7 linked regions of the Bombyx mori genome follow. The protein of the gene in region 1 purifies or fractionates together with the protein of each later gene. This does not show direct contact. Links are inferred from orthologs where the notes say so. Each region holds a gene or a part of one and is shown in the gene's direction. Other genes may lie near its edges. The genes, in order: cell division cycle 5-like protein, small nuclear ribonucleoprotein Sm D3, interleukin enhancer binding factor, puff-specific protein Bx42, small nuclear ribonucleoprotein sm d2, pre-mRNA-splicing factor SPF27 and splicing factor 3B subunit 1.

What was found.
Region 2: the proteins of cell division cycle 5-like protein (region 1) and small nuclear ribonucleoprotein Sm D3 purify together in Homo sapiens (affinity purification with mass spectrometry; 3 studies listed by BioGRID and IntAct, with this or other methods). This does not show direct contact. The link is inferred for Bombyx mori from reciprocal best matches to the Homo sapiens genes CDC5L and SNRPD3.
Region 3: the proteins of cell division cycle 5-like protein (region 1) and interleukin enhancer binding factor purify together in Homo sapiens (affinity purification with mass spectrometry; 4 studies listed by BioGRID and IntAct, with this or other methods). This does not show direct contact. The link is inferred for Bombyx mori from reciprocal best matches to the Homo sapiens genes CDC5L and ILF2.
Region 4: the proteins of cell division cycle 5-like protein (region 1) and puff-specific protein Bx42 purify together in Homo sapiens (affinity purification with mass spectrometry; 5 studies listed by BioGRID and IntAct, with this or other methods). This does not show direct contact. The link is inferred for Bombyx mori from reciprocal best matches to the Homo sapiens genes CDC5L and SNW1.
Region 5: the proteins of cell division cycle 5-like protein (region 1) and small nuclear ribonucleoprotein sm d2 fractionate together in Homo sapiens (co-fractionation; 3 studies listed by BioGRID, with this or other methods). This does not show direct contact. The link is inferred for Bombyx mori from reciprocal best matches to the Homo sapiens genes CDC5L and SNRPD2.
Region 6: the proteins of cell division cycle 5-like protein (region 1) and pre-mRNA-splicing factor SPF27 purify together in Homo sapiens (co-immunoprecipitation; 8 studies listed by BioGRID and IntAct, with this or other methods). This does not show direct contact. The link is inferred for Bombyx mori from reciprocal best matches to the Homo sapiens genes CDC5L and BCAS2.
Region 7: the proteins of cell division cycle 5-like protein (region 1) and splicing factor 3B subunit 1 purify together in Homo sapiens (affinity purification with mass spectrometry; 5 studies listed by BioGRID and IntAct, with this or other methods). This does not show direct contact. The link is inferred for Bombyx mori from reciprocal best matches to the Homo sapiens genes CDC5L and SF3B1.

The regions. Positions count from the first base shown.
Region 1 is NC_085115.1:11,711,961-11,716,475, forward strand, and holds the start of cell division cycle 5-like protein, read left to right. Parts: upstream 1-1,322; 5' UTR 1,323-1,580; coding exon 1,581-1,625; intron 1,626-1,708; coding exon 1,709-1,974; intron 1,975-2,499; coding exon 2,500-2,630; intron 2,631-3,206; coding exon 3,207-3,366; intron 3,367-3,579; coding exon 3,580-3,748; intron 3,749-3,936; coding exon 3,937-4,071; intron 4,072-4,515.
Region 2 is NC_085122.1:328,527-333,106, reverse strand, and holds small nuclear ribonucleoprotein Sm D3, read left to right. Parts: upstream 1-1,696; 5' UTR 1,697-1,884; coding exon 1,885-2,194; intron 2,195-3,305; coding exon 3,306-3,388; 3' UTR 3,389-4,314; downstream 4,315-4,580. UniProt on the Homo sapiens protein: Plays a role in pre-mRNA splicing as a core component of the spliceosomal U1, U2, U4 and U5 small nuclear ribonucleoproteins (snRNPs), the building blocks of the spliceosome.
Region 3 is NC_085130.1:10,889,284-10,893,220, forward strand, and holds part of interleukin enhancer binding factor, read left to right. Parts: intron 1-651; coding exon 652-786; intron 787-1,599; coding exon 1,600-1,755; intron 1,756-3,188; coding exon 3,189-3,281; intron 3,282-3,937. UniProt on the Homo sapiens protein: Chromatin-interacting protein that forms a stable heterodimer with interleukin enhancer-binding factor 3/ILF3 and plays a role in several biological processes including transcription, innate immunity or cell growth.
Region 4 is NC_085130.1:3,035,438-3,039,374, forward strand, and holds part of puff-specific protein Bx42, read left to right. Parts: intron 1-163; coding exon 164-308; intron 309-858; coding exon 859-992; intron 993-1,569; coding exon 1,570-1,711; intron 1,712-2,821; coding exon 2,822-2,918; intron 2,919-3,783; coding exon 3,784-3,927; 3' UTR 3,928-3,933; exon of another isoform or gene 3,934-3,937. UniProt on the Homo sapiens protein: Involved in pre-mRNA splicing as component of the spliceosome. As a component of the minor spliceosome, involved in the splicing of U12-type introns in pre-mRNAs.
Region 5 is NC_085132.1:3,761,956-3,765,459, reverse strand, and holds small nuclear ribonucleoprotein sm d2, read left to right. Parts: upstream 1-1,781; 5' UTR 1,782-1,857; coding exon 1,858-1,859; intron 1,860-1,961; coding exon 1,962-2,214; intron 2,215-2,506; coding exon 2,507-2,611; 3' UTR 2,612-2,862; downstream 2,863-3,504. UniProt on the Homo sapiens protein: Plays a role in pre-mRNA splicing as a core component of the spliceosomal U1, U2, U4 and U5 small nuclear ribonucleoproteins (snRNPs), the building blocks of the spliceosome.
Region 6 is NC_085118.1:940,979-945,372, reverse strand, and holds the start of pre-mRNA-splicing factor SPF27, read left to right. Parts: upstream 1-1,514; 5' UTR 1,515-1,658; intron 1,659-1,828; 5' UTR 1,829-1,971; coding exon 1,972-2,046; intron 2,047-2,754; coding exon 2,755-2,918; intron 2,919-3,730; coding exon 3,731-3,943; intron 3,944-4,394. Other genes in the region: WASH complex subunit 3, read right to left, coding at 77-241, 399-455. UniProt on the Homo sapiens protein: Required for pre-mRNA splicing as component of the activated spliceosome. Component of the PRP19-CDC5L complex that forms an integral part of the spliceosome and is required for activating pre-mRNA splicing.
Region 7 is NC_085116.1:8,407,039-8,410,975, forward strand, and holds part of splicing factor 3B subunit 1, read left to right. Parts: intron 1-388; coding exon 389-672; intron 673-773; coding exon 774-977; intron 978-1,082; coding exon 1,083-1,281; intron 1,282-1,656; coding exon 1,657-1,815; intron 1,816-3,162; coding exon 3,163-3,455; intron 3,456-3,937. UniProt on the Homo sapiens protein: Component of the 17S U2 SnRNP complex of the spliceosome, a large ribonucleoprotein complex that removes introns from transcribed pre-mRNAs.

The DNA.
Region 1 (4,515 bases):
GGATCCTCCCGATCCACTAACGGTGCTTTTAGGTACCTCAAGCACCGATCACCGTTCCCGTCGAACCCGTCGCTTGCGAGGAAGGGCTCGTCGAGTAAATTAACCCTCAGACACAGCCCACTGAGTTTCTCGCCGGATCTTCTCAGTGGGTTGCGTTTCCGATCCGGTGGTAGATTCTGCGAAGCACGGCTCTTGCTAGAGTTCGTGTTAGCAACGTCGTCAGATTTGAGCCCCGTGAGTTCACCTACTAGTTAAGGTTCTGCTGAAATAGCCTCGCAAGGCTATCAGCTTAGGTAGGAAAAAAAAAGCTAAATCATACTTACCTGGCGTAGGGATACCGTGATTATGCAGGCGGTTTCCACAGGGTGAGGCTGCTCCATTGCACTGCGGGTTGGTTGATTCTTGCGATTATTTTAATTTTTATAAGTTTCACTTCTACCGTGTCACACGTAATGTGTGTGACATGCACACACACATTTTTTTCTTCTGATTTTTCTCATGATGGCTTTTTTTTTCTTTTTTTTTTTGGCTTAGATGGTTGGACGAGCTCACAGCCCACCTGGTGTTAAGTGGTTACTGGAGCCCATAGACATCCACAACGTAAATGCGCCACCCACCTTGAGATACAAGTTCTAAGGTCTCGAGTATAGTTACAACGGCTGCCCAGCCCTTCAAACTGAAACGCATTACTGCTTCAGGGCAGAAATAGACAGGGCGGAGGTACCTACCCGTGCGGATTCACAAGAGGTCCTAACACCAGTAATTACGCAAATTATAATTATGCGGCTTTTATTTTTATTACACGATGTTATTCCTTCACCGTGGAAGTCAATCGTGAACATTTGTTGAGTACGTATTTCTTTAGAAAAATTGGTACCCGCCTGAGATTTGAACACCGGTGCATCGCTCAACACGAATGCACTGGACGTCTTATCCTTTAGGCGACGACGACTTCATATGAGAAAACTTGGGGCAGTTGTGTCATTATTTTTGAGTGCGGTTCTAGAAATGTTATGTAGGGTTACGGTTCCAAAGTTTAAATGAACAAAAATAACAAAAATTAACCACAATAACCGAAAAATGGTTAAAGTTTGACCAAATTTCTAGGTTTTTAATGGCCATAATTTCCAAACTGGATGGGATAGATTTTTTTTCTGATTTTTCTCATGATGGTTACAATCAATCCTGTCACCCCGTTTCGGCTTGACGTTGAGTTCTCACACACCCTGTATAGTTTAACAAATAAGATATGACCTAAAGGTCTATGTTACGTTAGGTCATAAAATAAAAAATATATATATTGAAATTTTTATTTTACCTATATCTTGTGTATGTATTGTCTATGGATTAAAGGCTATATGGGCTTAGATCCCCTTGCCTTTCCTAATAAGGAAAATTTGTACAAAAAAAAATGTCGATGGATTATAGAATTTAGATTTCATTGATTTATCCTTACATCTCAATTTATTAAATTTTCGCTAAATGGAGACGTTTTAATGAAAATTATTGCATATTTAAGTAGTAGTTATTCAAATTTAATTGATTTCATTTATTTATAAGCTGAATAAACACTATCCAACATGCCCCGGATTATGATAAAAGGTGGCGTTTGGCGCAACACCGAGGTTTGTTATTTTACTATTTTGTATTCTTTATTAATACTTTCTTATGATTCCTTAATACTAATGTTATTTGTGTGTCACTTTAGGATGAAATCCTTAAAGCGGCTGTAATGAAATATGGGAAAAATCAGTGGTCTCGTATAGCTTCGTTGCTCCATCGTAAATCTGCAAAACAATGTAAAGCCCGTTGGTACGAGTGGTTAGATCCAAGTATAAAGAAAACAGAATGGTCCCGAGAAGAGGACGAGAAGTTGTTGCACTTGGCCAAATTGATGCCAACTCAGTGGAGGACCATTGCTCCTATCATCGGACGTACTGCTGCACAATGTTTGGAAAGATACGAATATTTGTTGTAAGTAATTAATTATCTTGTTAAGTTTGAGTTCCTTGTATCTAATAAAACAGAGTAAAGTAGTTAGGTTTGGTTTCAATCACTCACATAGGTATCTGAAAAAGTTGCTTTGGTGTTAGCATCAATAATTAATCACACTAAACAAATCAGGCAACAGTAAGCAAGATAGATAGTGTAGAACTAGAGATCTGAATTGACCATCTTGTAGTTTGTGTGATGATTAAATACAATTATTTTAATATTCTAAATAGACAGATGGGGTTCATAGACATCATAATGTGAATGTGACTGCCATACAGCTTTAGAAATAATGTGGAAATCAATTGTTTTATGCAACGGCTATCTCGCTTTTCAAGTTTAAAGCATTCTTCTTTCAAGCATATTTTCCAGTTTAAAAATGCTGGATCTTCGGCAAATGGAACAGAAATGGAACAAAAACACAGGTTCACAACACAATCTGTCAGACCACAGATGCTTATCTATGAATATTATAAAATTCTGTAAACTCCTTTAATTCTCATCTAGAGACCAAGCCCAAAAGAAAGAGGAAGGTGAGGACATGGGTGATGATCCACGTAAGCTGAAGCCTGGTGAGATTGATCCTAATCCAGAAACAAAACCTGCTAGACCTGATCCAAAAGATATGGATGAAGATGGTAAGCAAATCATATTTGAAAAATCATTTAGTCTTTTAGTTATGAATTCAGTTAATAATGTGAATTTAGGTTAGAGTTCACTGTATAGTTTAGTATATTTTTGCATAATTGAAAACACAGAATGTAAAAAGAACCATTAGCTCTTAAAAATGAAGACAAGTTAGTGATAGTTATGAATTCCAAGTATGTTGATGATGCACTTCATGCTGATTTCAACAACAGCAACAAGTTTTTACATCGTCCCATAAGTGATATACTCATTTTAGCTGTATATCTTTAAGAATGTATGTGTGAACAACATCAGAAGTTTACACGTGCTGTGTTTCATTTTTGTGTCACAATGATCTTTTTCCTTCAAATTTATAAAAATGAAGACTAGATAAAAAATTATTGTTGATCACGATATAATTTTGGCTTTAAGAGTGATACTTTTACACCAGCTAGAGAGGCCATTTAGAAAATGTACACTATAGACTTTGAGGGTAAAGAACGAGTGCTGTACATGTACTTCACAGCCAAAGCTTAGAATTGTATTGTTTCATGATTTTTGATTATAATTTTATTCTTGATAACTAGAATTGGAGATGCTCTCAGAAGCTCGTGCACGTTTAGCTAACACTCAGGGTAAGAAAGCTAAAAGGAAGGCTCGTGAAAAGCAATTAGAAGAGGCCCGTCGTCTTGCTGCACTACAGAAGCGAAGGGAACTCAGTGCTGCTGGGATAGCTGTACCATTAAGGTTTAAAAACACAATAAGTTATATGTATATGAAATAGACAAAAAAAAGTAAATATTTTACATTCAATTGGTCGTGTAAAATTGAGTAACATTTTTATATTTTTTAAGATTGTCTTTGCATAGGCGGATGAACAAGCTGATAGCCTACTTGCTGTTATTATTATTATTATTTATAATAATATTATTATTAATATAATGCTTCATTGTTCCCCAGGCGTAAAAAAAAACGTGGCGTTGATTATAATGCTGAGATACCATTTGAAAAGAGACCAGCGTCTGGTTTCTATGACACTTCGACTGAAGTAGTTGATCCCATGGCTCCTGATTTCTCAAGACTCCGACAACAACACCTTGACGGTGAATTACATTCTGAGAAAGAGGAGGTTGGTTACATGTACTTAATTTATACTTAAAGTTGTTAAGTTAGGGAAGTAAGGAAGTAGGGAATATGAGATGCTGCTTCTATCTACATTTTTTTTATATTCATGTATATTTTTTCTACCTATCTATTCTGTGGTTAAAAATTATAAAGATTTTATTTTATTACAAAATTTTATTCTAATATTTTTAGAGAGAACGTCGCAAGGATAAGCAAAAGTTAAAACAACGCAAGGAAAATGATGTGCCACAAGCCATGCTACAAGGTGATGCTCCGGCAAGAAAACGCAGCAAACTTGTGCTGCCAGAGCCACAAGTTACTGATCAAGTATGTTATTTTTTAATTCCATCTATCAAAAGTAGATCTACTGTGATCATTGATAGACCAAATATCAAAAACTTTAAATAACTGTTGAAAATTAAAATATTGAAGAGAAATCAAAATTATAAGTTTTTACAATTATTTTTTTTTTTTTATTGCTTAGATGGGTGGACGATCTCACAGCCCACCTGGTGTTAAGTGGTTACTGGAGCCCATAGACATCTACAACATAAATGCGCCACCCACCTTGAGATATAAGTTCTAAGGTCTCAGTATAGTTAAAACGGCTACTCCACCCTTCGAACCGAAACGCATTACTGCTTCACGGCGAAAATAGGCGGGGTGGTGGTACCTACCCGTGCGGACTCCCAAGAGGTCCTACCACCAGTGATTACGCAAATTATAATTCTGCGGATTTGATTTTTATAACACGATGTTATTCCTTCACCG
Region 2 (4,580 bases), on another chromosome or scaffold:
CTTCTAGTTTCAAATAATTTTATATCCGCATGGAATGATGAATTAACTAAATACCGAATCATTTGGAAGATGATCCCGCCTCGGGCTCCACATTTTGGAGGTTTATGGGAATCAAACATTAAATCCGTTAAAACTCATTTAAATAGAGTAATAGGCGCACAAATTCTCACTTACGAAGAGATGTTAACTGTGTTGAATCAAATAGAATGTCTTATGAATTCCAGACCTTTATGTCTTTTATCCGCAGATCCCAACCCCGAAATTCTCACACCCGCACATTTTTTGATGTCCACTCCTTTGCAGTATTTACCCGCGTCTGAATTGTCCGCAAATCAGATGAGTCTGACTAATCGCAAAGCGTTGTTAGATGGTTTGGTTAATTCCTATTGGAGGAAATGGAGATTAGAGTACCTGCATACGTTGCAAGTCAGACAGAAGTGGTGTACATCAGATAACCCCGTGAAGGTTGGGACAGTAGTTCTTATTCATCAAGATGACATTCCACCGCTCCGCTGGCCACTTGGAGTTATACAAGAGGTGTATCCAGGTGCCGATAACATTATACGCGTTGCTTTGGTAAAAACGAAATCTGGATTTCTTAAACGTCCAGTTGTAAAATTATATCCGCTACCGCTAGAATAAATTAGAGTACCGCATGTCATCAACCGCTTCAACTCTACTCGTAAACATTCATGATGGCTTATTATTAATTAAAATTTGTTTCTTTTCAAATAACTTCCCGCTATTTAAGCTTTATGCTTCCTATCTTAGTATCTTTATATATTTGTTGAAAGTCCTGCGAACTTTCAAGGCGGGCAGGATGGTCACGCGGATTTAGTAATGGGATGCTAATGAATTATTGGGATGGCGCCACCTTTGGAGTTTGTCAGTAACTAATTACCGCGACTACCCAAAGCGTGGTTCTACCCGATCGATCACGCTTTACCGCTAGCTGCCTAGATGGCGGCACTTGTATATTGTGTGGTGCTTGAGCTTACGAAAAGCTACGTGAGCTTCGTCACCCCCTCCCGCCGCCCGCGTGCTTCCATCGCCGACGCCCGCACGACAGTCACTGGCAAGATCTACAGGTGAGTGCAAGTTCTTTTAATTTATTGCCATTTTATTGCTGCTTCGTGTAATCATTCGCCCGCCCGCTCGCTTATGTGTATTTAATTTATATCTTTAGTTTGATTACTAGCTTTTGTTTACCGCTATATAGTTTTACCGCTCCGCTAATTATAAGTGACAAACATTTGTCACATACCGCTTAGGACGGCTATTTACACGCCTTTCTACAACCCCGCTTTATATGCTCCCGCCGCAGGAGGGCTATTTACACGCCCCCTTGCTACCCCAAGCATAAAGCCTAAGCACCTAGCTTTTTTTACAAATGAAACTAGGTCTATTAGGCTATGTACAGTGAAATGTAATTTATTTAGAAAAATGGTTGGAATTAACTAAGATTACATTTAACTTTTTGCAAAATCTCAATAGTTATACCCTGCGATGCTCTTGCATTTTCAAACCGAAAGGTAGTACTACTTTACGGCAGGAATAGGTAGGGTAGTGTTGTCTGCCTCTGTGGACTCGCAGACATCCTACCATTCCTACCACCAGTAAAGTTGATTTTCACAATGCTAAGGGAATTAAAAATCATAATGGATTTTTGGTAATATGGGTTATGTTGTCTTTGTCTGTCAATGAATGAATAAAAATGTCTATTGTCTATGCACGGAACTCGCCGCCATATTACATTAGATGTCTATGGATTTGAAGCGTCTAATTTTTTTGAAATATTCTTTCCCATTTTTATCGTAAATAATCTAAGAAATAATACTGAATTATTGTCCTTTATCGTACGTTTTTCTTAACTAAAACGTAAACATGTCTATCGGTGTGCCTATTAAAGTACTTCACGAGGCGGAAGGTCATGTAGTGACTTGTGAAACAAATACCGGTGAAGTTTATAGAGGGAAATTAATTGAAGCTGAGGATAATATGAATTGCCAAATGACTCTCGTAACAGTCACATACAGAGATGGCCGAGTTGCACAGCTCGAGAATGTGTACATCCGTGGTTCCAAGATCAGATTTTTAATATTACCGGACATGTTGAAGAACGCGCCAATGTTCAAAAGACAAGGGAATAAACCTACTGCAGGACGAGGGAAGAGTGCGATACTGCGAGCCCAAGGTATTGAACAATATAAAAATAGTGTGTATGTGATTTGTTTATCGAGCTAGGTATCCTAAATGTTCTCTCGCATCACATACGTAGTGATTGTGTTCATTATCAACAAGACAACATACGAGTGTTAATATATGAATGAGTGCTGTCTGACTTGCAGTCTAATTACATCTAGCACTGAAATTGTGAATATGCATTGTTCTTAATTTCGTTTAATTCAAAGACTTAAAAAAGAATAAACATCTTTAGCTTAGAACAACCCATTTCTTTAGGCTTGTTATAAATTAGACTTGAGTGAAGTCTATTTAACAATTACTGCACTATATAACCAAATTATTAAACGAAAATTTCTAAGTAGAAAACGTATGCAAGTATGAAAGATAAGCACATTTAATTACAATCAATAAATAGCCTTCATTAAAATTAGTACAAATGCATTGAATACATAGTGATCAATTGGGTCAAATGAGCAAAAAATAGGTAGTTTGAAGCTTTGATTTTTTAAATGTCTTGTTTGTTTATATCCTGTATAGATATTTTTTGTCACAGTTTTTTAATAGTAATTGAGAATATTTTACAATTTTTCATTCTTGAGTGCTTATATAGACATACAATGTCAAATTTGCAATTTTAAGTTTTGTAATATCAAATCAGTATTTTGTTCCAATGTTAATTGTTTCTAATCATTCAACTATATGTTATTGACAATTTTACTTTGGGTGGTTAAAGAAAATATGTGAATGATGAGACCATGTCAAGTACCTAATGCACACAATCTCACACATCTAAAGTAAAACCTATTTTACATAATGTTATGCAAACTAATAACTGTATCTATTACATTTGTGAAAACCCATTCTTGTGTATTTAAATAATTACGGCAAATTTCTGTTGCTAAACAGGAATGTGAATTGATTTGACGGGCTGGACAGTAACTACAATACATTTGAGCGATCAAATATATGTATCTCTTCATACTCATCTCAAGTATCATGCCAACCAGCATCCTTATTTTGATGTTTGTGGGCCACAGTAAATCATTAATCAAGTGGGTTGTAAGCTTACTCACACATCTAGAGGAATCAAGAAGTAAAATACAAATCTTTGAAATTTTCAGCTGCTGGTCGAGGACGAGCAGGTGGAAGAGGTGGGGGCCACCGTGGAGGCTGGCAAGGTGGGTCAGGACCATCTCGACGCTAGCGTTAAGATATTTTTTAGATAGCTTAAGTTGTACTTGTCTTATATTTCAATTGTCAAGGAATTATTTCATTATCATTCTTATATATTGATATATCTAAGTGAGAAAAATACAAATTTTGGAAATAGAACAACTGTTTGTTCAAAGATTATTATTATGTTCTCAAATGTAACAATAAGGTCCTGTTCCAGATTTTCTGTTTTTTTATTTTGGTCACCCTTCAATCTGCTTTACACATCTTAGGTCTCATGGACCATTTGATCAAATAGACACTACACACTGATGCTACCCTATGGTGACTTATTGTGACTCCCAATCAATACAATGTTTAATCTCTATGTTCTATCCTTATATCAGTCCCAATAATCTAGAAATCTTGTCCATATGATGGGTAATAGTTCAATCTTGTTTTGGCTTGAGGAAATATCTATGTGTGGTTTATGCGGGGGTGACTATTGTAATTAAATATAAAAAGTTATTATAAACTGCCTTGTACAAACCAAACTTAACCAATGGCCGAGTTTTGACAATGTTTTATCCATATAATTTTGAATTTTTTTGCACTGTAACTGGAGCCTATAGACTTTATGAAGGCCTGCACCTACCATGAGGTTTGAGATCAAAGTCCCAGTTGTACTGTTTGGGATAAATGCTGTCTTAATGGGCAAATTGGAATGCTTCGCAGCATAAAACCTGCAACAATCATGCATGTTTGTTAAATGTGTGTAACTCGGCATCTTATCCTTTAGGACACGACAACCTCTTATGCAAAATATTTTTAATTTGAATGTTTTATGTTCGAATTTAGATTAGTTACAAACAGTGTAACAAGTTTACTGAGACTGTCAGCAGATATGTGATAGGATGTGTCGTTGTGGGTGTGAATATCAAAAGATTGAAAACAAATAAAAAACAATTTGGATAATAACTAGTGTTTTTATTTATGAGACACGCAGTGTCAACTAACTATAATTATTATTAGTCAAATTCCACTGGCCACTACTGCTTCTGAGATAGTATAATAATAGAAGTCATGACGGCTTCACTGTACAGACGCACAGGACAGTGGTGTCTAACCATACAAGCTCACACTGCACATCAGCACCTCAGCACCAGCTGTTGCAGAGCTGTCCAATTTTAGTTACACATTCCCCTCCGCTTCTATTGAATCTAATACGCAATAGGAACCGTGGT
Region 3 (3,937 bases), on another chromosome or scaffold:
AATACATATTAAGGGATTAAACCATATTTAACTAAATCCACAACAATTATCTTTGTAATTAAAGGTGAATTTTATTTGATATTAGCATCAACAGTTCGATATTTTTAAATGAACTTCAATAAGTTTACTCCACTGAAATAGCTGAAGTAGTTTTTATGTTATGATTTTTTTTTTCAAAACTGTGTACTTCAAATGGCTCCTATTAAGTTACAAAAATGTCTCTTAAACGAAATATCCTTTCACTCTTCAATATATTTTATTACACAAACGAAAACAGGCTAGTTTCACTGGTGATAATAGAACGGTTAAAAAAAAAAAAAACTAATATTTAAAAAAAAAAAAACATTAAAAAAAAAAAGACATGTCCGCTGAGTTTCTTGCTAATTCTTCTCAGGACGGAGGCTAGTTCTTGTGAATTGGCGGTAGTTCTTTTGACGTTCAACAAGTATGTACTTTCATTTATGTTGAATAAAAATTTTTTGATTTGATTTGGTGCCTAATCCTTTCTTTGTCTATGTGAATTGATTGCTCTTAGCGATAAGACTGGACTGTGATTTTGTGTATTATATGTTTCGTTTTTTTGTTATCATTTTATATTATTGTTTGTAGAAATCTTAATTGTGATAAATCATATAAACATGTATTGGTTAGCAGCAACTAGAAGAAGTGCGGCAAGTTGGGTCCTACAAGAAGGGGACAATGATGGCCGGGAAGAACGTTGCTGATATCGTAGTCATCATGAAAACTTTGCCAACGAAAGAGGCTGTCGAGGGACTCTCCAATAAGGTACACTTTTGTGTGTATATATGTTTATAGAATAGGTACCAAAGGCGTAGACTACCATAAATATGTCCTTCAATACGATATACCAATATATACAATTGTCATTGTCCTTATATCTCAAGAAAGGTAAGAACTTTCAGTGTCTGTTTGATTTCGTAACCTTAAACATGAGGTTTAATTGAAGCAAAATAACTAATTATGAAATGTACTCTGAGCAAATAAAAAAGGTTAAAATGTCTTCCGACAGTAACTCACAACTTTTTGGCTGGAACGCAAGGAGTTAAGTTGTGTGATTTGTTTTATTTTGTCTATTTAGTGTTTCTTGAGGTTTAAATGCGTAATAACGGTGGTTTATTAACTGTTTAATATCTGTGAAAGTGCACAAATGTGGGAAAATAAAACAAAGCCGCTGGACGTAACTTTTCGGGATCCTCCAAAAAGTCCACTGAAAAAATCTTAGTAAATTACCACCATTTTACTGAGATTATATATGTCATTCTATATTATCTCATCTCATTTTATTTAATTTCATCCCAGTTGATTAAGGTCTCAAATTAATCATCTTCATTTCATTTCACTCCATGATATCATTTTTCATAAAAATATGAATATAAATTAAAATAAGACATGACTTAAAGGTCTTAGTTACCAGGTGATAAAATCCCTTAAAATGACAGTAACTCATTATTAAGTAATGCTTGGATGTGCTGGTGGCATTGTTGAACTCCATAAGCCACAGTAACCGCTCACCATTAAGTGGATCTTCTGTGTGCGATGGCAATGTAAAAGCAGATTGAAGTAGTTGGTTTAATTCAGGTTAACGAGGAGGTGAACAAGCTGATGAAGGCTGAAGGCAGCGGTGCAGTGGTGAGCGCGTGTCACGAGCGCGGCTTCACTGTCACCGGGACCTCCGCAGCCGTCAGGGTCCTCATCACAACACTGCATCAGAACTTAAGGAAGATAGAGCCTGATGTTAGTATTTGTTTAATTTTTTTAATTTTTTTATTAGGTTCACACAACTTTTTTTTTTGTGCCTATCTGCGATCAGCCCTGGACTGTGAGCAGATGCGTTACGTGTGCCATCGCGTCCAAGAGGCTCCCCACCAGAATACTCTTCATTGATCACCATATGTCACCAACTCCCTGTATATCATGACGTTTCAGTCGTTTGATGTAACTGACTTTTGTCAATGCATTAGCTAGGGTATTTGGGTGGTTTTCCAGCCGAGTTCTGTACTTAGTTCCTGTCAACCTTATCTCTTCACACAACTAGATAAAATCTGCACACATAAACATTGAACTTATTTACATAAAATAATACATTATAGAATTCACCCTTTCTGGGTGTGAACACATCTTGCTTAAAAGCGTTAGATAAAAATATCGTTAACTAATATTAAAATTAAGACAAATAAACAAAAAGAAAAAAGAAAAAACTGCATATAAAAACATACAAAAAAACAATCAACAATAAAAATAAAAAGAGGGAAATTAATGTTCAATAGAAATCGAAATATATGTAGTTGGTCTACAGCTCGGTGTGGATCATGGAACTTAAATTTATTTTAAGTGAGGTTTTAAGAGAAGCATGGCAAACAAATTAATTTATATATTTTTTTTATGATTTATATACTTTCATCTTTTTAATATTTAAATATAATATATCTGTGCTTCTATAAATGAATACTGAGCATCAATAAGCATTCATGAATATCCATACTCATTTATTATGTGTTATGATCAACTTGGTTGTGAAGTTAGCAGCCCTGATTGTTAGGCCCAGGGTCGTGGGTTTGATTCCCACATTGGGCAAACATTCGTGTGAGAATAAGCTTGTTAGCTCATTGACTGTATATTTGTATATGAGTATGCTTGTCAATCTGGCACCCACAATACAGTGAATTTTAATTTGGGGTCAGATGATCACAAGTAATTTGTACCCAATTTTTTTTTTATTGCTTAGCTGAATGGACAAGCTCACAACCCACCTGGTGTTAAGTGATTACTGGAGCCCATAAACATTACGACGTAAATGCGCCACCCACCCTGAGATACAAGTTCCAAGGTCCCAAGTATAGTTACAACGGCTGCCCCACCCTTCAAACTGAAAGGCATTAATGCTTCATGGCAGAAATAGGCAGCGTGGTGGTACCTACCTGTATTATAATTTTGTGGGTTTCATTTTTATTACACGATTATACCTTCGTTGTGGAAGTCAATCGTGAACATTTGTTGAGTACGTATTAAATTAGAAAAAGTGGTACCCACCTGCGGGATTCGAACACCGTAGCATCGCTAGATACGAATGCACCGGACGTCTTATCCTTTAGGCCACGACGACTTCAGACTCCAGATGACTATGAGTAATTTGTACCCATTTATTTATTATAATTATTTATTTGTAGGTACATTTAGACTATAAAGTGATAAGCAGTCATCTAGCAGCGATAAGACACAGTCGCTGGTTTGAAGAGAACGCCCATCATTCATCAATTAAAGTGAGTTATCATGAATTATATACATACCGTATTTTCGCATTGAAAGTGTACAATTTCCAAAAATATTCGAAACTAGCTGACCCGGCAGACTTCGTAGTGCCGCAATCGATAAATAAAAGGCCTAAACTTTTGTATAAAATAAACATAAAACAAACAAAAGGAATCCATCCGACAGGGGACACATCAAAGGAAAAACAAAATTGTTATTTTTATTTAATTCCGAGCATTTTCATATTTATCTACCTTTTAAACCTTCCCTGGACTTCTACAAATAATTCAAGACCAAAATTAGCTAAATCGATCCAGCCGTTCTCGAGTTTTAGCGAGACTAACGAACAGCAATTCATTTTTATATATTATTACTAGCTGACCCGGCAAACATTGTTTTGCCATATATAAGATTTCTAGGGAATTTCTAGTGTACAAAGAAAACCTAACTTATTGTAAGTGTGTAAGGATGTGGTAAATGAGTGAAAGAGGTATGTAGTGCTGTAAACGATGAGGGAATATATAATAAAAATAACAAAACCTCATTCAACCACATAATACCTCATTATAACAAAAAAAAATGTCCAAATAAAAAAAAAAAATGTTAGGGGTGGACAACCCTAATCACTTATGGGGATGAAAAATAGATAGTATCCGATTCTCAGGCT
Region 4 (3,937 bases), on another chromosome or scaffold:
TTGACCCAGTACAATATATTCTTTTGATTAATTGCACTTTAAGTGACTTGTATGAGTGACTTAAATCATCACATAATATCTAGTGATGATGGTAAGACTATTTAAAAGTTGATAAGCAATTACAAGAATCCTTGGAACATAATATTACCTATATATTAATTAGGTATTCGGGCACCAGAAGAGGATGTGGAACAGCCCGAGATAGATGAGAGCGGTCTCAGTGTGGCGGAGAGGGACAAGCTGAGGGCTGAGAGGCACAAAGAGAGGCAACGCGAAAGAAACATGGCTCGAGCAGCACCGGACAAAAGGTGAGTGTGTTTTTCTTCATAGTTCTCGTATATGAGTAATTGAGATTGATTTAGTATTGTAGATCGGGACAGCTTGTCTCGTTATAGGAACTAGTGGTCCCGCAGTAGTCGAAATTCGACTATAATTAATTTAAGTTTGAATATTATTAAGGTTCTATTATCAAAGACTATTTATTATACTATAATCACAGATTTCGCCAAGACTACACTATAGACAAATATTAATAAATACAAACAATATTTAATCTGTTCTCAATTTGACCACAGATTATAAGCAATAAAAGTTTGACAATAAACAAATAGTATGCATGCCTGTGTGTGTCAAATACATGGTATGGTGGTGTCATATTTTTTTATTCATTTAATGTATATTTTATGCATAATTTAAAAAAATCTTAAGATTCTTTTTTTTTATAATAAAATATTTTTTTCTTACTCTATTTTTAATTGAAATTTATTAAAATTTATTTTCTATTTTTTTGGTTGGATTTTCTATAAACGCGTATTTTGTTAGTTTTTTTTTTAAACTATTATATATCGTTAATTCCAGGTCCAAATTCGCGAAAGAGCGGGAACGCGACATCTCGGAGCAGATCGCGCTGGGGCTGCCGGCCAAGACCAACCAGGGCGGCGAGGCCATGTTCGACCAGCGACTCTTCAACAACAGCAAGGGAATTGACAGCGGTAAGGCTAGAGGCCTCACAGTTTGTCTTCTTCTTTGTCTCCACCACATCCCCCCAGGTGGGGTCGGCGTAGCGAATGTTCGGTAGGCAGCGGCTTGGCTCTGCCCCTGGCATTGCTGACCTCCATGGGCGACGGTAACCACTCACCATCAGGTGGGCCGTATGCTCGTCTGCCTACAAGAGCAATAAAAAAATTTTTATTCTATTCCATTCTCCTCTATTAACCATCATCTCAACACAACCCTTTTTTTTTCTTCTTTTTATATTGCTTAGATGGGTGATCGTAACGTGGACGGTGGAATCAGTAAAGCAGTCATGCATGCCTGTTTAAAGGTTAGGACAGACGCAATGCTATTGAGACATCGACCTCATGTCTCAAGGTCGATGGTCGGCATCTAGTTGGACCACTCCTACTCATCTGGGACAAAAAAAGTCATATCAAATACGCATGTTTTTTTATTTATTACTTATGAACTAGTGAACGTTCTCACGGCTCACCTGGTGAACATGAAAAAAAAACATAGTAACGGGTATACTTTTTGCCACACGAAATTCAACCTTAAATTTATTTAAACAAGGTTACGGAGAGGACGACGCGTACAACGTGTACGACAAGCCGTGGCGGAACCAGGACAACGTCGGGGCGCACATCTACAGGCCCAGCCGGCACGCCGACCGGGACTCCTACGGGGACCTCGAGGCCGTCGCCAACACGCGCAGGTGACCCTGACCGCAGGGAAACTCTTAATTTAATATTCCCGAAAATTGTGTGCACTGAATATGTGTGGGTATATGTGCTTGGTTGGCATGCGCCACAAGCCTTTTTACGGATTTTGGGTCGGATTTAGAGTTCTGGAGGCCTCAGGGCTTAGGAGGAGCGGAGGCCTCCCTAGCCCCAAAATTTTAGTGTTAACGTCAAGTAAAACAACGAAAAAAGCAATGTCGAAGGAGAAGAAAAGATTTACTAGTGTTTACTTGTCGGAATTGGAAAGATTTTTTTTCCAAAGTCTATTGTGGGGGCCCCGGTTGCTCTCACCTAAATCCGGCCCTGAACGGATTCTAAAATGCGAAGTGTTATTTGTCTCAGTTGTGAGATTAAAATATAATAATAATCAAAAACGTAGGAAAAAAACTAATTTAAATGAAATATAAAATCAGACTGCGTTTAAAATATTTATTTAAAAAGCTAAAACAATCTTATCATTTCAGTTAGGATGGTTTTTTTATTACTCCTACTTTATTACTCTATATTTTTAGTACTCAGACAACCATGTATGTCTTGATAGCAGTGCCTTCTCCATTATTATTTTCAAATGATTCCTGCTCTCCCCGCGAATGGGACTGATTTTAGGATGCCTTGTCTATAGACAAGGCAGCTGCATACAATCTTACCCAGTTCTGCAGTGAAACATTGTGCATTCCAATGTCTATTGATATTTAACGGCCGTTTGGTGTAGTGGTAAGTGACATGGTCACTACACAAGGCGGTCGCGGGTTCGAATCCCGCCAAGGGAAGATATTTGTATGATAAATATAAATGTCTTTTCCAGGGTTATGGATGTATATTAAATATATGTACGTGTATAATAAAAATCTTACATTTATTTCCGTTATCTGGTACCTGTAGCACAAGCTCTTTACGAACTTAGCACGGGACCAGTTAACGTGGCGTGATTTTTATTAAATTTTTTTTATTGATATAACACCGGATAGACCGATAATCCAATAAAAAAATTAAAACTGGCAAATCTGTTGTATTACATAGATGTTTGAGATGGACATTGTGTAGTGTCAGTGGCATATGATATGAGATGTCATGTTTGTTGACAGATTCGTGGCGGACAAAGAGTTCGCCGGCACCAGCAGCTCCAACACCCGCTCTGGACCGGTGCAGTTTGAGAAGGATGCTCCAAGCAGAGACGAATCCGTGAGTTCCCATGGGCTTAATATGAACAGTTGTGATTGAATTAGGAAAAGGGTTTATAATGGTTACCGTGCCTGATGTTTTTATATGGGTGAAGAACAGTCTCAATATGTTGAAGTCGGGACATGTCTACTATTGTTTTTGATGATGAAGGCATTGGGACATTGGTTTGCTGTAATCTCCTATGAGTAGATAGCAATGTCCTGCCTATTTTTCCTGTGCAGTAGACCATGAGATCTCAGTAAGATAATCACTTAAATCCTAGATAAGCATTAGTGATCAACGATGATTTAATAAAAATATCAACAAACTTTATAATTACAGCAGTGGCTACCAAACTTTTTTTTGTCCACTGTCCTCTTTGAGAATAAATTATTTTATAGCGCCCCTATTTTTTCACCTACTTTAAAAACTACTAAAGCGAGAAAAACTACTACAGCGCCCACGAGGGGGCGTTATCGCACACTTTGGGAAACGATGAATTACAGTATTGCTTCAGTATAAATCCAATCCCTCTTACCAACGCTGACACACACAAACTACCAGAGTTGTTTTTAAATTAATTTTCTCAATGCTGTAGCTTATTTTTCATAGCTGTTTTTTTTAATTTTTTTTTTTATTGCTTAAATATGTGGACGAGCTCACAGCCCACCTGGCGTTAAGGTGACTGGAGCCCATAGACATCTACAACGTAAATGCGCGACCACCTTGAGATATAAGTTCTAAGGTCTCAAGTATAGTTACAACGGCTACCCCGCCCTTCAAACCGAAACGCATTACTGCTTCACTGCAGAAATGGGCAGGGTGATGGTACCTACCCGTGCGGACTCACAAGAGTTCCTACCACCATTATAAATGTATTTTGCAGTCTCGCAGCAACCAGTCGGAGGCTGACTTCGATCCGTTCGGTCTGGATCGGTTCTTGAGCGAGGCGAAGAGAGCCGACAAGTCGTCGAGGAAGCGCGACCACCACGACCGACACGACCACCACAACAAGAAGCGGCGCGACTGATCCGACGTGA
Region 5 (3,504 bases), on another chromosome or scaffold:
TACCATCGGTGTGCTTAGTGCGAGTTTTGCAACGTTCTCGATAGCGTAAAAGTTAACTCAAATTTGTATGCAGCTGGAACAGCAGCCCTAACGGCAAAGGAAGGCAAACGATCCCATTCCATACAAATATGACCTAACTTAGGCAAACGTTTTCAACCGCATACGTACCTACAAATTTGAGTTTACTTTACTTTATCGAGAACGTTAAAAAACTCGCACTAAGCACATGGGTTGGAATCGCGACCCACTGTGAAGACCCAACGAGAAACTCGGTGATCTCCGTCTATGGGTGAATTTGCTAGTGATCGACGAGTTCGATAAGGAGGGTAGCCGGTGATTGAGAGGCCTAAAGCACGGAGAGTGAATCCGGGGGATCTCACAAGACATGTTTCGAGCGACGGTGGCTTTGCGTTGCCGCGTCGCGTTCGGATAAGAGAACATCTCCTAATGGTTCAGCTGCTGTGGAGACTTACCGGCTCGAACGCACTGACAAACAGACAAAAATCGATTTTAAGAGTTCCTTAAACAATAAAATATACTGAAATCGCTTTCATTTATTTTCCTTTTCTTTAATACGGTAATGAAATAAAGAAATTTAATTGAATATGAAGTTCGTTAACATAAAATAAGCATGGCATATACAAAATTGCTGATTATATGATCATGACTTTGTATTTTAAAATTTCCTTAAGCGCCTTATTCACGATCCATCTTGCTGTACGTCCCGCCAAGGCCATGCACGATGCACGATGCATTTAGCGCTTTATTCACGATCCGTCACGGCTGTACGTCAGCTCAAGACCGCAGTGCTGGATGTATCAAGCGCGAACAGAATAAATCGAACGAATTAAATGAGGGTTTTAAGTTAAAATGCCAGCTGCTTTATCAAAACGCCAAAAATGGGAGTCCTTCTGATGTTGTCAGCAGCAGCAGAAGAGAGGCAAAAAATAGCAAGAGGTTTTGGATGATTTTTTTAAACGTGCAGAGTATACTCAAATAATTAATATCATTTTTTACGCACGCTATCAATCCTTGCAGCTTCCCCTAAAATGGGCCTAAAAATTGTAATACGTTTATTATTTTTGGTTTATTCATATAGTCTGCGCTTGAGACATTCCACAAAAATGTGGAACTTATAACTTTCAATAAATCTTGAAAGGGTTTCACGATCCATTTTGACGTGCAGTCTCCTTTCGAAACTCTTCGTTAACTTTAATTTCAGTATTACCACCGTCTTTTTACGATTTCATCAATGTCAGTGTCGAGTTAAAAACTGACATTTAGTGGCCATAATTGTTTGTTGAAATAATACTTTTTGGCGGGAACGCGAGGAGTGAAGTTGTGTGATTTGTTTTATTTTGTCTATTTATTTAGTGTTTCTTCAGGTTGAAATGTGTAATAACGGTGGTTTATTAACTGTGTATTATCTGTGAAAGTGTACAAATGTGGGAAAATGAAACAAAGCCGCTGGATGTAACTTCTCGGGATCCTCCAAAAAGTCCACTGAAAAGATCTCAGTAAATGACCACCATTTTACTGAGATTATATTATATTTCATCCCATATCATCTCATTTCATTTTATTTCATCCCAGTCGATTAATGTCCCAAATTAATCATTTTCATTTCACTCCATATTATCATTTTTCATAAAATTAAGAATATAAATTAAAATAAGACATGACTTACAAGTCTTAGTTACCAGGTCACAAAATTCCTTACAAAAAATTGTTGAATTAAAAAGCAGAGTCACCATAGACAAAATAAAGCGTCGACTTAGCGTGTGTACGATAGTTTTGCTGTAATTGTAATCTTTTTCACTCAATTTCTCAGTTCACAAGCCCATAAAATAATACAAAATGTAAGTATTAATATGATTTACGTAGTTTTAACAATATATTTAACATATTATCTGCTTAGCCGGTAATGGTCAACAATAACTCTAATGTTAACCTTATTATAGGACGTCAACAACTAAGCCACGCTCTGAAATGACCCTAGAAGAGCTATCTAAAATCGAAGAGGAAGAGTTTAGTACCGGACCTCTTTCCGTGCTCACGCAGTCAGTAAAGAACAACACACAAGTTCTGATAAATTGCCGTAACAATAAGAAACTCCTGGGTAGAGTGAAGGCTTTCGACCGGCATTGTAACATGGTATTGGAGAATGTTAAGGAAATGTGGACTGAGGTACCGAGAACTGGCAAAGGAAAGAAGGTAAACAGATGTTACTGTATTTCAGTTCAATTGATTCAGAAATTTGAGGTTATGTATTGGAAATAGGAACCACTCCCAAGCGCTCATGTATAAAAGTGCTACAGCTCCAACTTGAAAAGTACACAATAAGACATGATGTCGCGTATTTTAGGCCAATATTAGCGGAGATAAAATACAAACCACTGGAAATTCCCAAGATGACAATTATGTGGATATGAAACATTCTGTGTTAGCTCATTTCATTAAAACTCTTCAAATTCAAAATACGTATAACTTCTGGTTTTATTTTCAGGGCAAAGCTGTAAACAAGGACAAATTCATCTCCAAAATGTTCCTCCGCGGTGATTCTGTGATCTTAGTACTAAGGAATCCTCTTGCTACAGCTGCAGGGAAGTAATGCAGTAATTAGTTTAAGTATTAATGAATAAAATATTCAGGAAATGAATAGCTTTACTGGTTCATTCCTTAAACTGTAATAATACTTTTACAAAATTGGAAACTGTGTTAGTTCTATGATTCTGCAACTATATGTAATAAATAAACAAACTCGATATTTTAATATATTGAAATTGTATCAAGTTCACATATTGTAAGATAAAGCTAAAAACGATCAGTTATTATAATGATGCATTAAAAGAGTCTCACCAGTATTGTTGTTAATATTAGCATAAAATAACTTCATATTAGTGGCTGAACATACCAAAATTGAAAAAAAGATACTTACTTTTGGTGCAAGTAGTAACTAACAATTTTGTAAAATATAGATGCTTTAACATTTTTAAAGAAACATGGCAAAATTACAATGGTCAAGAAGTCCACAAACCTGTCAATAAGTTTATAATTTCTATAATAAACCAAAGTGTAAAAGTGTGTTTTTAATATGATTTTTTTCATAGCCCCTTATTAATTTGTGCAAATTAGATCTGATGTACATCATGGGATTAAGCTGTGCAGTCCAGTCCAATATTTTGTTAACATGTTGGTTTCATGACAGACACTATGAGTCCACAGCATACTTTCCCCTAGGGTAAAAAAATGTAGTGTTTTTTCAAAAATATTCTCAAGAAATTACTCAAAAGTAATGAGTGAGGTATGGAAACAGTGACTAAGTATTGTTTTCTGAGATATTTCAAATGGCAGACAGTGTCGTCATAGACCTAAGTAAATGGTTGTTACAGGGTGTCCACCATTCCACTGGACTAAACATGATTTCTAGTCTGGTGTTCAATGTGGTAATAAAATTAGAACTGAATATATGCAAAGGTCTTCACAATAAGGGAAGAACTTCAT
Region 6 (4,394 bases), on another chromosome or scaffold:
GACTAATGATAGAAAATAAAAACATTTTAGATATCCGTTTTTGTTTACATACAATAATTTATAAAAATATAATCACCTTAGATTCTAACAAAACCATGGCAGCATTAACTTTTTCTAATTTTCTCTCAAACTGCATCAGTTTCTGCTCGCAATTCGTCATAAAGTTATTCAGAAATTGTACATTTATTGTTAGGAAATGATTTACAAATGCCAATGTACGTTTTTGATGTAATGCCGCAACCTGCAATTTGTTTTTTAAATATTAAAAATAAATTATTCTCATTTATAAAAAAATATTGTGTTTTCTAGAATTAGGAAGTTTATAAAGATAATCAAGGCCGTGAAGTTTGTACTGCATTAAATTTTACAACAAATAATAATAATTCCAAATTTAAAACCTTAGTTAAATCCGTTTGTGGGGATTCGGATTGAGTTAAATCTTCTTGGATGGTCATTTTCAGTAGAATATAAACAAGACGAAAAAGAAATTTGTCTTGTGGTTTGGAAGCTTGAATTTGTTTTGTTCTACTGAAAAAACCAAATTGAATTACATTTCAATACATTGACTAATAGGTCCACGAGTTTTAATTACACTAAGTTTAATATAAAAAGCACCTAATTATTTTACAATAACAATCTTTTTCCTTCCGTGACAGTCGTACCTATTTATTTACGTTAAAAGAGTATGTAAGCAAATTAAAAGGAATATTTCAGTAGGTACAGTAGGTACGGTACCACCACCTAAGTCTGACATTATTATCATTAATTTACATTTATCAATATAACACTATTCTTTGACAATAGTGCTACTGTCCACTGTCAATATTTGTAGTAGTTCTATTTTTCCAACTGGAAAGGCAAAAGTATCATACGATACAGCCTAAGTTATCATTGTATTTTATGAAAAATGATAATATGAAGTAAAATGAAATAGAGTTGATTAATTTGAAACAATAATCAATTGGCGTGAAATCTAAGTAAAATGATGGTTATTTACTGAGACTTTAAGGAAACTGCCACCTCGCCCCGGGCAACAGTCTCATCAAAGAGGGTACACACACGCATGATTGCGTCGATGGTAGACCGGCCCTTTCTGAAGCCGTACTGTTCGGCTGACCGATTGGAACCCGTCCTGGGGATGGGGCAGATGACGCATCCACGACTTGCTCCAACAATTTTCTAGTTTCGTCCAGCAACACGATGTGGTGGTACACCACGGATGACTCCTAGAGGAGCTCCTCTTTCCTCAGAAGGATGAATCTGTCCGATTTCCGTCCGGGCTCAAGGCAGGCTTCGAAAAGCCGCACAAGCCAATCCTCCAAAGTACCGAAGGCCTGACCTGGCCACGACTCCGTAGGAGATCTAACAGCTAAGGGCAACTGCTTCGCGAATGTATCTGTAATAAAATGTCTAATTTTGTAGTAATGAAAGCTTTTTAATCACTGAATACATGTGAAATGGCACAAGTTTTAAAAAATCAAACAAACATTGGACGTGTTCACACAAATCATCCACTCCTAGACGTGCAGCGACCGTATTTATTAGATTCCTGCGACTTTCAGTAGGACGTCAGTTCACCTCGTCGAAAGTCTATCTAAGCTGCGTCGTGTGTGGCTGCCACTCGAGAATATTTTCAAAATAAGTTCGTTGATCTCTCAGTAAGCACCATTGTTTCATTATCAACTCATCTAATATCTACTCGATGTGTTCTTCTTTCATTAAATTCCATTTTATAATATAATATTAATTTAATATCAATTTATTGAATATCGAGGAATTCAAAAGATTTAGCTATATGGACTATATTTCTTTTGCCTGTTCATTTTAGGCTTAAAACTAGCTCAAACGAAGAATGTCACACAAGTGACACAACTAAAATCAAATAAACAAAGAACAGCGTTAAAACTTTAATATAAAGTGATAAATCACAGTACCCATTCGTAGTAAAGGGAGTTATAAATTTTGTAGAAAATGGCAGGAGAAGTTGTCGTAGATGCATTACCATATATAGACCAAGGATATGACGATCCTGGAGTAAGAGAAGCTGTAAGTATTATGATAACCTTACTTTTTTTAATTCTTGGACCATTTCCTTTACAACAAAGATTCATATCGCTTTAGCTTTGACATCTAGAGAAAGAAATTCAATAATCATTTTGGTATTGCTGGTCTGAACGACCACACTTCACAAATGTGGGTTATATTCTCGTCTGCTTCAAAATGCGCAGTCACCGCTGAGAGATTTATATAAAAATGTTTTTTTTTCGTTGTTTCTTGAACATGTATGCTATTTCGAAGGACTTCCTTTTTCGAAATGGAATAATTTCACCTTTAGAATAAACCGATTTGTATAGTCTTGGTTCGACCACTGCCAAAGATCAATTTGAAATTAGATTTCTGTTTGTTCCTTTTTGCATTGAGTGATACAAAACGAAGTAATTTTGGTAATATTCATCTTGGTCAGTCTAGGAAATGCAGAACTTCTAGGAATTTTTGCATACACTGTAAGCTACAAAGCACTTTTGCTTCAATTCTTTTTCAATTTTAATGTCAATTTCAAATTCAATTCAATTCACGATTTTATTATTTTGTTTCATTGCTATTGTAATAATTGATTGTGTGACTGGGAAGCTGTCTCAAAAAAGTATTATTAAAGCACTTCTTATTGATACTGCAGTATAAAATGTCCTTATAATCAAACCTACTTATAGAAGACTCCTTAAACTACCCTTAAATATGGGAATTGATTTTCAGGCATTGGCCATGGTGGAAGAAGAGTGCAGACGCTATAGACCCACAAAGAACTATCTTGAAAATGCAGGACCAGAACCAAGTTCTGCATTTGAAACTCCTGCTTTACAACGAGAGATGGAAAGAGTGCAACAGAGATTGCCGATGGAACCATTGTCTATGAAGAGGTGCATAAAACCTGCAATTTTTTTTATTTATTATTTTGTTCTTTTAATTTGCACCACCCACCTTGAGATATAGGGTCTAAGGTCTCAAGTATAGTTACAACGGCTGCCCCACCCTTCAAACCGAAACGCATTACTGCTTCACGGCAGAAATAGGCAGGATGGTGGTACCTACCCGCGCGGATTTACTAGAGGTCCTACCATCAGTAATTACGTAAATAAAAACTTGCGGGTTTGATTTTGATTCTTCTTCTTCTTCTTCTTTGTCGTTTCCTCATTACTGAGGGTCGTGACCACCTTGGTCCAGCTTTTGCACCAGCTTCCTCCAATGCTGCCTGCATTCGGCCTGCTTAATGGCTTGATTTTGATTACATGATGTAATTCCTTCACCATGGAAGTCAATCATGAACATTTGTTTAGTAGGTATTTCATTAGAAAAATTGGTACTCGCCTGGGATTCGAACACCCAGTGTATTGCTCAACACGAATGCACCGGACGTCTTATCTTTTAGGCCACGACGACTTCAATTAAGTTGATAGGTTTGTAAGCTAAGTTGGTATTTGAGTCAGCCTGGCTACTGATGCCACAGTATGAACATGATGATAATGAAGTAATAGTAAGATTGTGAGGAGATATAATATGTAGGTCTGTAACTTTTACTAAGTGGTATCTTGTGATGCTGACTGTTAATATGCCAAATCCTCTGGTCATGTTAACAAACATCACTATTGAGTGATCACGTGATGTAGTGAAGCACAGGAATGTGGTTTTAAAAAAAAAACTATTGAAATATTATGTATAATTAATTCCTCAGGTATGAACTTCCACCCCCTCCAGTCGGAAGAATGAGTGAACCAAGTGCCTGGGCCGAGTCAGTTGACAACTCTCATGCACAGCTGTCACACCAAGCTATCAGAGTTCTCAATTTAGAGTTGCAGTTAGAGTACGGTTCAGAAGCATGGAGATCATACCTCAATACACTTCAAGCATTAGTCACAAGAGCTCAAAACGAACACAACCAGTTACGGTAAGAGATGTATAACATAGAAATTATATTTAAATGGTTGTTAGTTTGACAGGGAGTCTATCTTCGATTATAGAGCCTAGGGAAGTAATTGTCTGTTGCTTTGACCCTTATTGCCTTTCATAGAAACAGTAGGTTAGAACTGCTTGTAGGATTTTATATAACTCCAAACTATTACAGTCAAACCTGGATAAGCGAGAGTTCAAGGGAGCACAATCTCATTCTCGCTTATAGAGGTTTCTCACTAACCCGAGTTTCTCTCTAATGCTCCCTCTGAATTTCATTTAGAGATTTTACGGATTCAAACGAATTCACTATTTTAAGTTTATCACTTAATGACAGCAATTGATTAACGATAAACTGAGTAAGTCTGACAAACAAGATGGTACACAGGCACACGTGTCCATTCGAAAAGAATGCCATAAAATAATAACGTTATTTAGTTCCACGAAAT
Region 7 (3,937 bases), on another chromosome or scaffold:
TCAAGTTTAGCGACATGGTGAACTGAGATGAAACACACCAACTACGACTTACTACTAATATTCTTCGAGAATTTGTCCATACCTGTAGTGACAACATCGTCTTCTTTTCGTTTTTAACCCCCCAATTGTTGTCTTATGTGCTGGGGGAGTTCCAAGCAGCAGCGTATTCTGGCATAAAGAAGTGTGTTAGCGATTGTCGGGTAGAATAATCACAATTCAACTAACTCAACTGTGATATCGATCACATGTCTCAAGATGGGCGGCGGCATTCACACTGTGGTGCATATAAGCTCCGGTCACCGCTTAACATTAGCTGGGCCCTGAGCTCGTCTGCCTATCTACGATTGTAAATTTAAAATAAAACCTAATAGCAAGTATTGTTGCCCAGGGTACGTCCCGATTCGGACGCCGGCCCGCAAGCTGACGGCGACGCCCACGCCGTTGGGTGGTACTCCAATCGGGTTTTTCATGCAGACGGAGGAGCCGGGCGGCTCGGCCGCGGCGGCCGCGCGTCTTCTCGACCCTCAGCCCAAGGGTAACCAGCAGCTGCCCTTTATGAAGCCCGAGGACGCCCAGTACTTCGACAAACTTCTCATCGACGTCGACGAGGATACACTCTCTCCCGACGAACTTAAGGAACGGAAAATAATGAAGCTTCTTTTGAAAATAAAGGTTCGATGATTTTTACCGTAAACGTTAAATAATCATTTTGATTTTGATGTAAACATATTGAGTGAAAAATTAAAAAACAAAATGCTATTATCATGTTGCAGAACGGTACGCCACCCATGTGCAAAGCTGCCTTACGACAAATAACAGATAAAGCTCGCGAATTCGGTGCTGGACCACTTTTCAATCAAATTCTGCCATTACTGATGAGTCCTACGCTGGAAGATCAAGAGAGACATCTACTGGTCAAAGTCATAGACAGGATTTTGTATAAATTAGACGACTTGGTTCGACCCTACGTACATAAGGTAAATATTATAATAAAAAAAAGAAAACATCAAAATATTAATTGTAATTAAGGACATTAGAACAAACCTATTTTTCTTTATCCTAAATTATTTGAATTTTGTCAGATTCTTGTCGTCATTGAACCTCTGCTTATTGATGAAGATTATTATGCGCGTGTCGAAGGTCGCGAGATCATTTCAAATTTAGCTAAAGCAGCCGGCTTGGCTACTATGATTTCTACAATGAGGCCTGATATAGACAACATAGATGAGTATGTACGAAACACAACCGCTCGAGCGTTTGCGGTAGTGGCATCGGCCTTGGGTAAGTTTTGTCATATGAATATTTAATTATTTTTTAAAGGGCATATTTACTGTCGTCTTCTTGTCCCTCGCCTCGTCTTATGCCTCTATGGTGTTTCCTCTAAAAACAAAAAAATACTGACAGGGTCCGTACTAACACATGTAATTTAATCTGTTTTATAGTTTGCTGTCAATCTTTTTGACAGTCTTATGAACATGATGATTTGAGTTAGTGGTATGGTTAAGTCTATGGGGAAATTATAATAATTTGTTCAAGTTTGCATACTTGCTATTCCCTATTATTATATTCCTATCCTAAGAATAAGCTATTTTTAACATAGGCTGTTGTTAACATAACACATCTTCAACACCATAAAAGAAATCTTTTTTTTTCCAGGTATTCCATCTTTATTGCCATTTTTAAAAGCTGTGTGCAGATCTAAGAAATCCTGGCAAGCACGTCACACAGGAATAAAGATTGTGCAACAAATTGCTATTCTGATGGGCTGTGCTATTCTGCCACATTTGAAATCTCTTGTTGAAATTATTGAACATGGTAAGATTAATATTTTAATTATATTTTAAGGATTTACTGAAACTTTCGGAATGCCACAACACCTAGTGGTTCCTGGTGATAGAACCTCTTGTGAGTCCGGACGGGTAGGTACCACCACCCTGCCTATTTCTGCCGTGAACCAGTAATGCGTTTCGGTTTGAAAGGCGGGGCAGCTGTTGTAACTATACTAAAAAAAAAACACCAATCTTTTCCGTAAACCATAGAATATAATCTAATCAGTGTATTCTTAATATGCCTCTATTAGTTTAACCCGTATTTTTACCTGTGTAATCCTATAAAGTAATTTTTAATAACTAAGAAACATCTGATTAATTTGAAACTTTACACATTATTAAAGACCAATCAATTAACATAATTGGATATCACTTTGCATTAATGACTTGACGACGATCATTAGTATAAACATATATTTTTGTATTTGTACATTTACTGTAATAATGTAATAAGGTCCCGGTTTTTCCCGAGCGCTATGACATGTCCTTCTTCAAACGAGGCTTGTGGAGAGTATTAAGCGGCAGGCAGCGGCCTGGCTCTGCCCCTGGCATTGCTGACGTCTATGAGCGACGGTAACTACTCAACATCAGGTGGGCCGTATGCTCGTCTGCCTACTACGGCAATAAAATAAAAATAAAATTGATATTATTATAAATTATTATTTAACAATAATATTTACCTCTATTCGATTTATAAATATAATGTAGCCCAAAGATATAGTTACGCCATGTATTTGTTGACACAATATTTGGTGATATTTTGTAATAATAGGTAGATAATACTTATTTTTTGCATTAGTATTCTAAGTAAGACATTCAACTTTTATTCTTAACTACATACTATTTTATTTTCGTTGATGAACAGATGCGATCTAGTGTTAGCGATTAATGGACACAATAGAATCGTCTGTACCGCCGCTCAGTTTTACATTAAACATAACTAATGTCTCGGTTGTCTAGTTGATTCTAAACACGTCATTTCGGATCCTCCGGATCCACTAACGGTGCTTTTAGGTACCTCAAGCACCGGCCATCGTTCTTGTCGAACCCGTCGCTTGCGACGAAGGGCTCGACGAGTAAATTAACCCTCAGACACAGCCCACTGAGTTTCTCGCCGAATCTTCTCAGTGGGTCGCGTTTCCGATCCGGTGGTAGATTCTGCGAAGCACGGCTCTTGCTAGGGTTCGTGTTAGCAACGTCGTCAGGTTTGAGCCCCGTGAGCTTACCTACTAGTTAAGGTTACGCTGATATAGCTTCTCAAGGCTTTCAGCTTAGGTAGGGAAAAAAAAGATTCTTAAATTACAGTATTTAAATAATTCATTTTATGCAATAGGTCTGGTGGACGAACAACAGAAGGTCCGAACGATCACGGCGCTGGCGAGCGCGGCTCTGGCCGAGGCCGCCACGCCCTACGGTATCGAGTCCTTCGATTCCGTGCTCAAACCTCTGTGGAAAGGTATTCGTACGCATCGTGGTAAAGGTCTGGCTGCATTCCTGAAAGCCATCGGATACCTCATCCCTCTCATGGATGCAGAATACGCGAATTACTACACACGAGAAGTGATGCTAATTCTTATTCGTGAGTTCCAGTCGCCCGATGAAGAAATGAAAAAAATCGTCTTAAAAGTATGTCTCTTTTTTTTCTTTTGTAATTCTATTTTTGGTGCTTATTGATTTTTTCATGTTTCTATCGCCTATAAATGTTTTAAGAAAGTTTACATATAAACATTTCTTAATTAAAGTTTCTGATTTAGAAACATTTTGCAGTGGTATGGGGTGGGGTTAATTTTCAAATAACAAAAGATTTTAACCAATATCTATTCAAATCAATATCAAATCAATTCAAAAGATTTCAAATAATAAAATAAAAAACAATTTAATGTTTCATAACATTATTGCTATTAATGTAATATGATTTATAGATATGCGAGAGAGATGGCCAGTTGTTGCATACACATAATATGCACACACATCTGTATATCCATTGGAAAATAGTGATCTCTACTCTCTTGTTTTACAACGAATTACGATGTTGTTTCTACAAAAAAGTTGCTTCCTAATGAGTTATTTTATTTTTATTTATACTTATTGTACACAAAAAGAAAATA